3 linked regions of the Nothobranchius furzeri genome follow. The protein of the gene in region 1 purifies or fractionates together with the protein of each later gene. This does not show direct contact. Links are inferred from orthologs where the notes say so. Each region holds a gene or a part of one and is shown in the gene's direction. Other genes may lie near its edges. The genes, in order: cops3, cul2 and BTB/POZ domain-containing protein 2.

The links.
Region 2: the proteins of cops3 (region 1) and cul2 purify together in Homo sapiens (affinity purification with mass spectrometry; 5 studies listed by BioGRID and IntAct, counting the BioPlex papers as one, with this or other methods). This does not show direct contact. The link is inferred for Nothobranchius furzeri from reciprocal best matches to the Homo sapiens genes COPS3 and CUL2.
Region 3: the proteins of cops3 (region 1) and BTB/POZ domain-containing protein 2 purify together in Homo sapiens (affinity purification with mass spectrometry; 3 studies listed by BioGRID and IntAct, counting the BioPlex papers as one, with this or other methods). This does not show direct contact. The link is inferred for Nothobranchius furzeri from reciprocal best matches to the Homo sapiens genes COPS3 and BTBD2.

Annotation. Positions count from the first base shown.
Region 1 is NC_091756.1:24,217,659-24,221,390, reverse strand, and holds part of cops3 (COP9 signalosome complex subunit 3), read left to right. Parts: intron 1-866; coding exon 867-1,046; intron 1,047-1,140; coding exon 1,141-1,281; intron 1,282-3,732. UniProt on the Homo sapiens protein: Component of the COP9 signalosome complex (CSN), a complex involved in various cellular and developmental processes.
Region 2 is NC_091747.1:38,641,220-38,644,819, reverse strand, and holds the start of cul2 (cullin-2), read left to right. Parts: upstream 1-1,047; 5' UTR 1,048-1,180; intron 1,181-2,130; 5' UTR 2,131-2,150; coding exon 2,151-2,269; intron 2,270-2,406; coding exon 2,407-2,509; intron 2,510-2,590; coding exon 2,591-2,685; intron 2,686-3,600.
Region 3 is NC_091751.1:57,998,828-58,002,659, reverse strand, and holds the start of BTB/POZ domain-containing protein 2, read left to right. Parts: upstream 1-1,184; 5' UTR 1,185-1,187; coding exon 1,188-1,762; intron 1,763-1,835; coding exon 1,836-1,955; intron 1,956-2,028; coding exon 2,029-2,185; intron 2,186-2,297; coding exon 2,298-2,403; intron 2,404-2,484; coding exon 2,485-2,682; intron 2,683-2,779; coding exon 2,780-2,972; intron 2,973-3,298; coding exon 3,299-3,386; intron 3,387-3,475; coding exon 3,476-3,622; intron 3,623-3,697; coding exon 3,698-3,832.

The DNA of each region.
Region 1 (3,732 bases):
AAATGTGTCACTATGGGACGTGTTGTTGAAGGGATTTTTGCCATTTTGAAGTGTGTTTCTGCATCAAAATGACGTATTGTCTCATGGCTTCAGTTTGGAGAAACAGAGCTTGTGTCCTTTAGGACTGATGAGCTAACAGCTAGGCTAGGGCACAGCCAAGACACATCTGAAAATGGCTCCACTTGTCTAAATGTCAGTGCTGCTTATGAGACACTGTTCTAAATGCCTTTACACCACCAACAGTCTCGCATCTAATGTTTGTTTTTGTAGAAATTTGAAGACATTTCTATTGAACTCGAACTCTGGATGCCCCAGAGCTTCTACATCATGCTGCTGCTGATAATTATTCACATATTTTGTATTTTGATTTCAGCTACAATCACAAAGATGGTGTTATTATTTAAAACATTCATATTTTACTCTTTGAGCATGTTCGAATTTAGCCTTTAGAAGTCAGCGTTGGTAAAGATGGCAGAATGAAGCCAAAACACACTGGTGGTGTGTAACACAAGTCAGAAAATACATCTCTATTTTAATCCAGACCTAGCTGTTCTGTGGGTCGGTGCCTGGTGATGATGCTGTAAACATCACCACTCCTGAAAAATCACATTTGGACCTCCGGGCTTCCATAGCAGCCATGTTTTCACGACGCTGGACAGTTGGTGTGCTTTAGACTGTATGTGACAGAAGTACTTTGTTATGTTATCCTAAGCTCACCAGACGATGGTCGTTTTTATGGTTTATATGGGAGCAAAAGAGTAACCATTTTAATCACTAAACACCTCGACGCTGCCGCCTGTTGGTCTAAGTCTGCAGAGCTGACCCCCGTCTCACCCCTCAGCGACTCTGCTCTCTCTCTCCTGCAGCTGTGCTTGTTAGCGAAGTGTTTCAAACCCGCCCTGCCCTTCTTGGAGGTGGACATGATGGACATCTGCAAGGAGAATGGCGCGTATGACGCAAAGCACTTTTTATGTTACTACTACTATGGTGGCATGATCTACACGGGCCTGAAAAACTTTGAAAGAGCACTGTATTTTTATGAACAGGTACCTTTTTCTTTAGTGTCTGAGCTCGATTTAGCAGCCTTTTCAGAATCTGTCACCTGGAGCTGTGTTCTCTCCTCTGCACTTTCACTGACAGGCAATAACCACTCCAGCCATGGCAGTGAGCCACATCATGTTGGAAGCTTATAAGAAATACATCCTGGTGTCGCTCATCCTCCATGGCAAAGTGCAGCAGCTGCCCAAATACACCTCACAGATCGTAGCGAGGTTCATCAAGGTACCACCCATCAGCTGTTACCCTTATCTGTCTTCTACCCACAGTGATATGAATGCTGTATGCATCTGATTGGCCAACTGGGACCATCTTTACTGTCCTTATGCTTGTTTTTGTGCTTTTAAATATCAAAGTTTAATTATTTATTCAAAAAACAAGTTTTCTCCTTCAGATGTGTCTATTTGACTTCATGTCTTCCACCATAAAAATGTTAAATTTACTGAAAGTTCTACAACATCCTGTTTATTTCTACCAGGTCCTGCATCTTAAACTAGAATACATCAGTGCTCGGCTCCATCTGCATTAGTTTGTTCCTTGAACTGGAGCAGTCGGGTGTTTTTCTGAACTTTTGTGGCTCTGGAGTTAGAATCTCACAGGGCTTTAAATGTGCCCTGACCCTTTGGTAAGACAAAGAAAATACTTTGGTTCTAGCGTGCTGTGCAGCTACACGTACCTGCTTTTCTTTTTCAAAGACCCACTCCAATGAAAATAATTGTGTTTTTTTCTGTTTTTAACATGTTCTTGAGACGTGGTCTTATGCTACATGACACATCTAAAGAAGCTTAAGCTCAAGATTGCCTTTCTGCGTTAAAAATGCTGTGAATCCGTAGCAGATGAAAACATGTGGCCTAAAACTGTCTGGGTTTGTTTGTTTATCAAATCAAATCCATCAAATATACTTTATTAATCCCAGAGGGAAATTAGAGTTTCAGTACACACAATTCAGAGATCAGACATACATGGGCAAGACACGTGACAAGAATTGGTGACTGTGGTCATTCGCAACCCGAGTCGCGCTACCTTAATAGAGACAAGAGGGTAACATGAGGATTGGTTCAGGTGGAGGGAAAAAAGGCACTTCAGAGTTACCCTCCACCGGGAGGGCAGCGTTGCTCTGCAAAAAAACACCTCAGACAGATATGCAACAGACTTCAGACAACACAACATAAGTGTCCACTAGGTGGGGTGGTGGGTTGGGACTATCCCCACTTCAGTTCCTGCAGCCACGATAAGCAGCGCATGTCACCTCCGTGTGGATAGGGGGAGGCATTGAGGGTTGGAGGGTTATTGTGCTGTTTGGATCCCCATTAGCTTCCACAGCAGTGGTTGCTAATCTTCCTGGGGTCCATTTTCAAAATACAAAATACATTTAACAATTCAAATGATTAAAACATTATAAATGATTACATTAGGATTTTAAAAGCTGTAGTGGCCAACCAGTGCCATCGAAAAGATCCCCCTTAACTTGCAGAGCCATCTGAAAATACCTTTCTTCTCGTTCCATCACAGCTACGAGAACAAAACAATAACAGAAAGTGCCTTAAGCCTTTTTTTTTAATGTTTTTCTTAAAAGAGCTTGATTTTGGATTTCCCTAACGAAACCTGGTGGCGTATTCCACTCAACAGTCCCTCTATAGAGAACGGCTTTCCTCATGAAATGACTTCTAGGTCTTGACACTATCACCATGTTATTGCTTGAGTGTTATGTGCTCATGGCCATATCCACTAAGTAATATTTCGTCTTTCATATGATGATGAATATTATTAGTCATAACTTTTTGCACAAACATCAGAAGACTATAGCCTCCACAGTTAACCATGACAACTCAAAATGCATCTGGTGCACATTGGTTCGAAGAGGACCGTTCAAAACGACTCTGCCTGCTCTGTTCTGAGCCATTAGCAGTTTGTTTCTGGACCAAACGACTGTACGGTACTGTAAATGAGATCAATCAAGACTTTGAACAACATGTTTCAGTACAGCGGTAGAACAACATGCAGAGCACTTTCTTCACAAAGATTCCTCGGCCCATCGTACTGACTCTGTGGTCAACGTGATCCAACCAGGATAATAAGTCGTCTACTCTAACACCCAACAGTTTGAATTTGGTGACCTGCTCCACCTTGGTATAATTAATTAGCAGATTTGTGACATCACAACCCACTGGGTGGAGCACAACCTCCACTCCTGTCTGCCCCCTCAGCCTCTGAGGAGTCTTGTCAATGTTCAAATGTCAAATGGATAGCTCCACCAGTAAGACTCCCTACTTATGGTTCAAATCCCAGCTGGTGCATATGAGATTTAGGCTCAAATGTGAATCTGTATATAGTTTTCTTACAATCTATATAATTAAAAGAAATGTGGTTGTCTCCGAAGCCAGAAGCGTTGCCATGGTGATGTTTCGTCCACTCGGCTGCCTTGCAGACCTAACACCGCAGATCATGGATGGCGTTGCCATAGTGTGATGTCATCGGTAGGCACCATCCCCGGTCCTCTTTTTCGGAAATGGAAATGTGGTCACCCTGCATTAAGTGATATAATTCCTCAAATAAACGCCGTTTTCAAACACCACCAGAAGGAACGCAGAACGTTGGTGAATATACAGTCCACTGTGTGTGTGTGTGTGTGTGTGTGTGTGTGCGCGCGTGTGTGTGTGTGTATGTAACAAGAGC
Region 2 (3,600 bases), on another chromosome or scaffold:
CTGCTCCTGATTGTAAGCCAGCTTTTTGCCATGGTTACGCATCATAACAAATGCTCAAAAAGTAAAGAAAGCTAAAAAATAGCAGTAAAAATCCTCCAAGCTTCACAGCACCAGAAACAGAAAAGTAAAGTGTCCAAAAAATACAGTTTTTCTTGAGAAACTAGAAGAAAAACTGTCCAAGAAAAGGCAAAACTTACATATAGTCAACAGAGCTACTCCAACATGCAGCCACCCAGAGCAGCACAGTTCCTCGGTAAGAGAAAAATCAGAGTTTTAGAAATAACGGGACACTCAGTAGAGCCATTATATTATATTTTTTACAAGTGTATGTAAACTTCTGACCACAACTGTAAGTTGCAATGGCCTTCCAACATGTCCCACGCTAATTTTAACTATTACTGTTTAGTTGGAATTAGGCACCAGCTTCCTGTGACCCTACTAAGGAAGAAGTGGTTCAGTTTATGGATGGATGAATGGATGGATGGATGTTGTCCACGCAATTATGTGACGCATCTAGAACAGTCATTCCCAAAGGTAAATCACCGATGACAGCGAAACTCCCATCTATTCATTTTCTGTCTTTGCTTGTTTCCATGGTTGCTAGGAACTGATACCTACCTGCATCCTTCAGTAGATGTGAGGTGGGTGCAGCACACACCCGGACACCTCACCAGTTAAAATCACAACTTGCATGAAATATGAAACAAATCTACCAAAGGAAGAAGTAACATGTTTGTGTGATTGGAGAATCATCATCTGCTTGACTTTTAATGTGAGATAATGTTGCTGACTGGAATGCATTCCAATATTTTAGTGTCAAAGTTGCCAATTAGTGGTGAACTCTTTTACAAATGAAACAATGTCTTTCGAGAAAAAAATTGACATAGACAGCAATGGAATAGACAAGAAAGGGCAAATTGTTTGATTAATATTTGACACTATTTTCTTCAAACTTGTTAAAACAAAAAAATCAAATGCAAACTGAAAATATTTATTTATTTATTCAAATGTACCCTTGCACGTTCCGATACGGTAGGTGGCAGCATTCAGAAACTGGCATTTTAATCTGTCATTAAAACCATAGAAGAAGAAGAATACTAGGGAAGACCTGTAAAACAAATCAAACCCGTGACAGCGGAGAATACTAACTGGGTTTTTAACAACTACATATTACACAGAGGTATGTAGTATGTAAGAGTCCCTGCTTAACTCGGGTGATTTGGTTTGTTTGACAGCAGTGCCATGTTTTGTGGAGGTGTCAGTGTGATTGTGGAGAAACTACTGAGATGACTTGCTAGCGATAGCTGAGCTGCCATTAGCTAGCTGCTATCACACGGAACGCTAACTGTTTCCATCAGATTGTATGCTATTCAAACGGGAAGAAGTAGCTTAGCATGCTAGCATGAAGCTAGTTAGCCTTTTAGCATTGAATCCTATTTTGGGATTGGCATGCCGCTAGCCAGTCACCTTTACTTAGCTTCGTTTATCGGGACTGTAAAGAGGTGTGTTTAGCACCGATCCTTCCTTCAGGAGAGACGCGTACGTGTATGAATGAAACCGGCTGCAACGACTAAAACTGTCAAAGTGTTTCAGTGATATTGTGTGACGTTTATTCAACTGACACAAGAACACAGGGCCTACGTTTCTTTACTTGATTTAATAAATGACTTCAGTGAAAGCAAAATGAAAGTTCATGTCAGTTATTGTCAGTTATGATCGCAACGCGGACACACCAGACCGTGTGTCCGGTGTGTTTTGTCCCAATGAACGTTGTCTTTGTACATTGTGTATCTAATCTTACTATCACAAGCAGCTATATGTGAGCAGCTATATCTAATGCTGTTTTTATGCCACTGGTTTAGAGGTGTATAGTTTATTGCAACGTCATTGATGTCATTAGTGGAGCAAAGATATCCATTTAAAAACATTCATTGGTTTTCTTCATTGATGTCACTATTCAACGCTTTCCTTTTGATTTCATCACTTGTATTCTGTTTAATAAGGACGTATTACATTATTAGATTGGTGAAAGAAATGGTATTACCAGAAAAAACATGATAAAATACAGATTCTTCAAAATATTAAATATTCACCCGTAACAACGTATTCACTATTTTTATTCTTCTGTAGGATAAAAGAGGAAATCTACAATGTCTTTAAAGCCACGGGTGGTGGATTTCGATGAGACATGGAACAAGTTACTGACTACAATCAAGGCTGTCGTGATGCTCGACTACGTGGAACGAGCCACGTGGAACGATCGATTCTCGTATCCTAGTTTCAGAGAAGCCATTTAATGTGTCTATATTTTGGATTGTAAACATGTACGGTAAAGTACTTTACTACACTGTGTTTATGTTTGTATTAGTGCAAACTCTTCGTTCTAACCCTTGACTGTAACATTAGTGACATTTATGCCTTGTGTGTTGCGTACCCTGAGCCTTTAGGGGAGAAGTTATACACAGAGACCAAAATTTTTCTTGAGAACCACGTTAGGCAGCTGTACAAGGTGAGCGTTAAAATACAATTCTTGCATTCCTGTTGAACTTAGCAGTCTATAACAGCTGCTCTACCTGTTTATGTTTTTTAGAAAGTTCTGGAATCGGAGGAGAAGGTTTTAGTTATGTACCACATGTACTGGGAGGAGTACAGTAAAGGAGCCGACTACATGGACTGCTTGTACAGGTAACACCCAGGCTTTTGATCTCATTGATATGAGAGAGTCATGAGGTTCATTTATTATTTATTATTAGATTTATTTATAATGTTACTAAAGAGTAGCCTTCACTACACTGTTCTATCTGAGCAGAAGCATTATACAGTTGGAGAACAAACTGAAGCTTCCTAGTTCCGGATGTAAACAAATGCCCCTGATCTGATGACTTTGAATCTGCACCATCATTTTCCAGCACATTTTTACGGGAAGTTGTGACTTGACACGGGTGTTGACCTCTGTCAGGGAGAGCAGATTGATTCTGTTCTCAGGGTTCCCGCGGGGTCTTTAAAAGTCTTAAAAGCATTGAATTTAGGAATTTGGAAATCACACCTTAAGTCTTGAATTTTGACAACTGGGTCTTAAAATTTTTGCTGCATGTAAATTATCCATACTGTATTTGACCTCAAAAGTTATATTTGTCAACCACATTAATTTTTGTTAAATAACGTAACATACATAGTGGTGGAACCAACACCACACCATTTTATTTATAAAAGCGCTTTCAATATGGCATTACAATCAACCAAAGCGTTGTACAAAATAAAACAATAAAAGGATAAAATAGTCGAGTCATAAAATTAATAAAAAAAAAATACAACGAAGAACCGTTTCAAACAAAAACAATAAAAACAAAAAATGATTAAAAGTAGTCAGACCACAGATTTAAGATGGGAAAAACCACAGTAGAAGGAGGTATGACAAACTGTTGATGCTAAGAATCGAAGGCCATGGAGAAGTAATGCATTTTCAGCCTCGATTTAAAGATGGGAAGCGAGGGTGCTCGTCTAACCGGAAGGGGTAGTGAATTCCAAAATTTTGGGGCACAGATACAAAAAAGCCCTTTCCCCGCGAGTCCTCAAACGCGTCTTAGGGACAGTGAGGAG
Region 3 (3,832 bases), on another chromosome or scaffold:
GACTGCAACGTCAGGTGTGTCAACTCCACTTTAGTAAGTCCAACCGGACCGGACTGGCACTCTAAAGTTGCATGTGTGGTATTTTGGTCACAGAGGGTGACATTTCATTAACCCCGTAGGGTCATTTTAGTACATATTGGCTCAAGAAAATGATTTAAAAATATTAAGTTGCATAGTATGCCTTTAACTAATAAACTTTTAACGTAATTACTTGCAATCTGAAATTTGGTTTGACTGATGCCCACTCTGTCTATAAGGGATGTATTTGTTTTATTTAGGTCAGTTCGATGGAAACACAATAACTCATTAACATGCCCTATAGGTTAACAACTGTACTATGTGTAAAAACATAAACATAAACTCAATCCTCTAGCTTTCGAGATTAAAGATTTTTCCTGCTATCTGCTGGAGCAAAACTGTCTCTACAGGCAATGTTCATATTGCTAATCACGAGAAAACTCAAGAGCGTTTCCTGTGGATTCCTTCAAAATAAACTATACCACTTAAAATGACTGCAGGTTTGAAATTAGTGTTAACAGCATAATTAAGTCTGAATCAGTGGTACCCAATCCTGGTCCTGGAGGACCAGTATCCAGCATATTTTAGTGTTAACATTTTTCCCATACACCTGATTTCAATCAGCAGTTAATTAACAGGCTTCTGCAGAGCTTCATAAGCTGCTGCACAGGGGATTCAACCGCTGAATCAAGTGTTGTTGCAGAGAAACAACTAAAACGTGCTGGATACAGGTGCTCCAGGACCAGGATTGACAACCACTGGTCTAAATAATGCCAGAAAGTCCTCACTACAACCTACTTAACTACTAAAAATCAACAACTCTACTTTAATAATCTGTGTTCAACAAGATCAAATCAACCAGCTACAATTGGAGCCATTAGCAGTTAGCTACAAAATAGAGGTTCATTTTTTTAAAAGTTTTATTTTGATAAGGAGGCTGAATATTCTCAAAGGGGAAATATCAGATGTTTTTTTTCCATATGTGCTTTATTAAAATTCAGCCTAAAATTTTTTTGGTCTGATGTTTTAACTTTTTAATGTTGTTTAAGAAAAGAAAAAAGTGAATTATAAGTTTTTTAGTTTAACCCATTGAGGACAGCAGATTGTAGTACCCACCGTGGCCGCTAGAGGGAAACAAAAGGCAGACGTGACCCTTTAGACTACATGAAATGAAGAAAGCGATGAAGTTTGTTGTTGACGCCTACGCCAGGTTGAAGATGTCCGCTGGAGACAACAGCGGCAGGCCTCCTTGCCTCAGTTTCTCCGGCCCGGGTCCTTTGGGAAACAGCCAGCCCAGCAACAGCGTTTTCTCAATGCCAGCATTCAACGGAGGAGCAGGCGGTGCAGCTGGAGGTGCACAGGGAGCAGCGAGGCGGTCCAACCCGCAGCTGGGGCCTGCCGGGGGAGACAGCAGCGGTGTGTCGAGCGGAGCTCCGCCGACTGCGCAGAACCCTTTGCAGTCGCCCGCTGCGGCTGCGGCAGGTGCTGCGGCAGCCGGAGCAATGGCCTCCCCGGCGTCCAACATGATGACCACCGCTGCGTCAAACGCCAACCCGGCGACAGCGCCCACCTCCACTCCGGCTGCTGCGTCTGTGCTGGTCTACCGAGAGCCGGTGTACAACTGGCAGGCAACAAAGAGCACCGTAAAGGAGAGGTTTGCGTTTCTCTTTAACAACGAGGTGCTCAGTGACGTTCATTTCTTGGTTGGCAAAGGGATGGGTGTTCAGAGAATACCAGCTCACAGGTAATTACCTCCAACATGAGCCTGCTCTGACGTTTAAACAAAGATCTGACAGCCCCCTCTCTCTTTGTTTTAGGTTTGTTCTGGCTGTGGGGAGCGCAGTGTTTGATGCCATGTTCAACGGAGGGATGGCCACCACCTCCACGGAAATTGAGCTTCCAGATGTGGAGCCAGCTGCCTTTCTGGCCCTGCTGAAGTAAGAACCAGACAGTCCAGCGTAACAGTTTACATTCCCACAAACCAACCCTAGTTTGTGTGGTTTCCTGCAGGTTCTTGTACTCTGATGAAGTCCAGATTGGGCCTGAGACTGTGATGACCACCCTCTATACAGCTAAGAAGTATGCAGTTCCAGCCCTGGAGGCTCACTGTGTGGATTTCCTTAAGAAGAACCTGAGAGCAGACAATGCTTTCATGCTGCTCACACAGGTCAGCTCCCATCAACTCAGTTTCCTTCATCATTATTTATTCAATTCATGTTTGAGTGTTCTATTATTTTTATAATTTGTGAGTAAAAGCAAGGTTGTGATTTCTGTTCCAGGCGCGTTTGTTCGATGAGCCTCAGCTAGCCAGCCTCTGTTTGGAAAACATCGACAAGAACACCGGAGATGCTCTCGCCGCCGAGGGATTCACGGACATCGATTTAGGTAAAGTGCCTCTGTACATATTCATGCCATTTCTACATTGTGGAATTACACTTTTAATATGATTTGTTTGCTTCTGTTTAGATACGCTGGTGGCGGTGCTGGAGAGGGACACTCTCGGAGTCAGAGAGGTGCGTTTGTTTGGAGCGGCTGTCCGTTGGGCTGAGGCTGAGGCCCGCAGGCAGCAGCTGCAGCCGACGCCCGAGAACATGCGTAAAGCCCTGGGAAAAGCTCTCACTCTGATCCGCTTCCCTCTCATGACCATTGAGGAGTTTGCTGCAGGTAAGGATGAACAAGCTACGTGTTTTTCCTCTGTTTTAGACATGCATAGATGCTGTGATTCTGAATTTAATCTTCGTCTTTGGGTCCTATCCTTCAGGTCCGGCCCAGTCCAGTATTCTGACGGACAGAGAGGTGGTGAGCCTCTTCCTCCACTTCACAGTGAACCCAAAACCTCGTGTGGATTTCATCGACCGTCCTCGCTGCTGCCTCCGAGGGAAGGAGTGCAGCATCACCCGATTTGGGCAGGTGGAGAGTCGCTGGGGCTACAGCGGAACGAGTGACCGCATACGGTAAGAATCCCGAAGTTTAGTCTCTTTTACTAATACTACTTAATGCATTATAAAGTATTAATAAACTAAGTAATCCTTCATTTACATTCCCGATATTGTTAACTATTGATCTTAAGGTTGGGACAAAGGGCCAGGGGTTATCTGTGTTACCAATACATTTAACTTGTATGTGTTTTTAGCTCAAACAGTGTACCACATACATCAAATGATTTAATAAGATATTTATTAGTTGTTACTGAATTTTATCTAAGAGTTGATTATTATAGACGACTAGTTCTGAATACTAAATTCCATCTGTCACACTTTCCTGATAATTTTCTTCACAGGTTCTCTGTTAACAGACGGATATTTGTGGTTGGCTTTGGCCTCTACGGCTCCATACACGGACCTACAGACTACCAAGTCAACATACAGGTACCACTCCAAGCACTGCTCCAGTATTAAGTTGTTTCTGATCATTTGGAGTGTTTTCATCGTGTTTGTGACATTTGCACGTGTTGTAGATAATTCACACAGACAGTAACACGGTGCTGGGGCAGAACGACACGGGCTTCAGCTGCGACGGTTCGGCAAACACCTTCAGGGTCATGTTCAAGGAACCAGTGGAGATTCTACCTAACGTCAACTACACCGCCTGTGCTACACTTAAGGTGTGTGACTCCTGAGAGCTAATTAAAGGGAGCCAGAATGTGTGTGTTCATCCTTTTTTTTTCTGTGCGTCACAGGGTCCAGATTCTCATTATGGGACCAAAGGGATGCGGAAGGTAACGCATGAGTCATCATCCACTGGCACAAAGACCTGTTTCACATTCTGCTACGCAGCAGGCAACAACAACGGCACTTCAGTAGAGGACGGACAG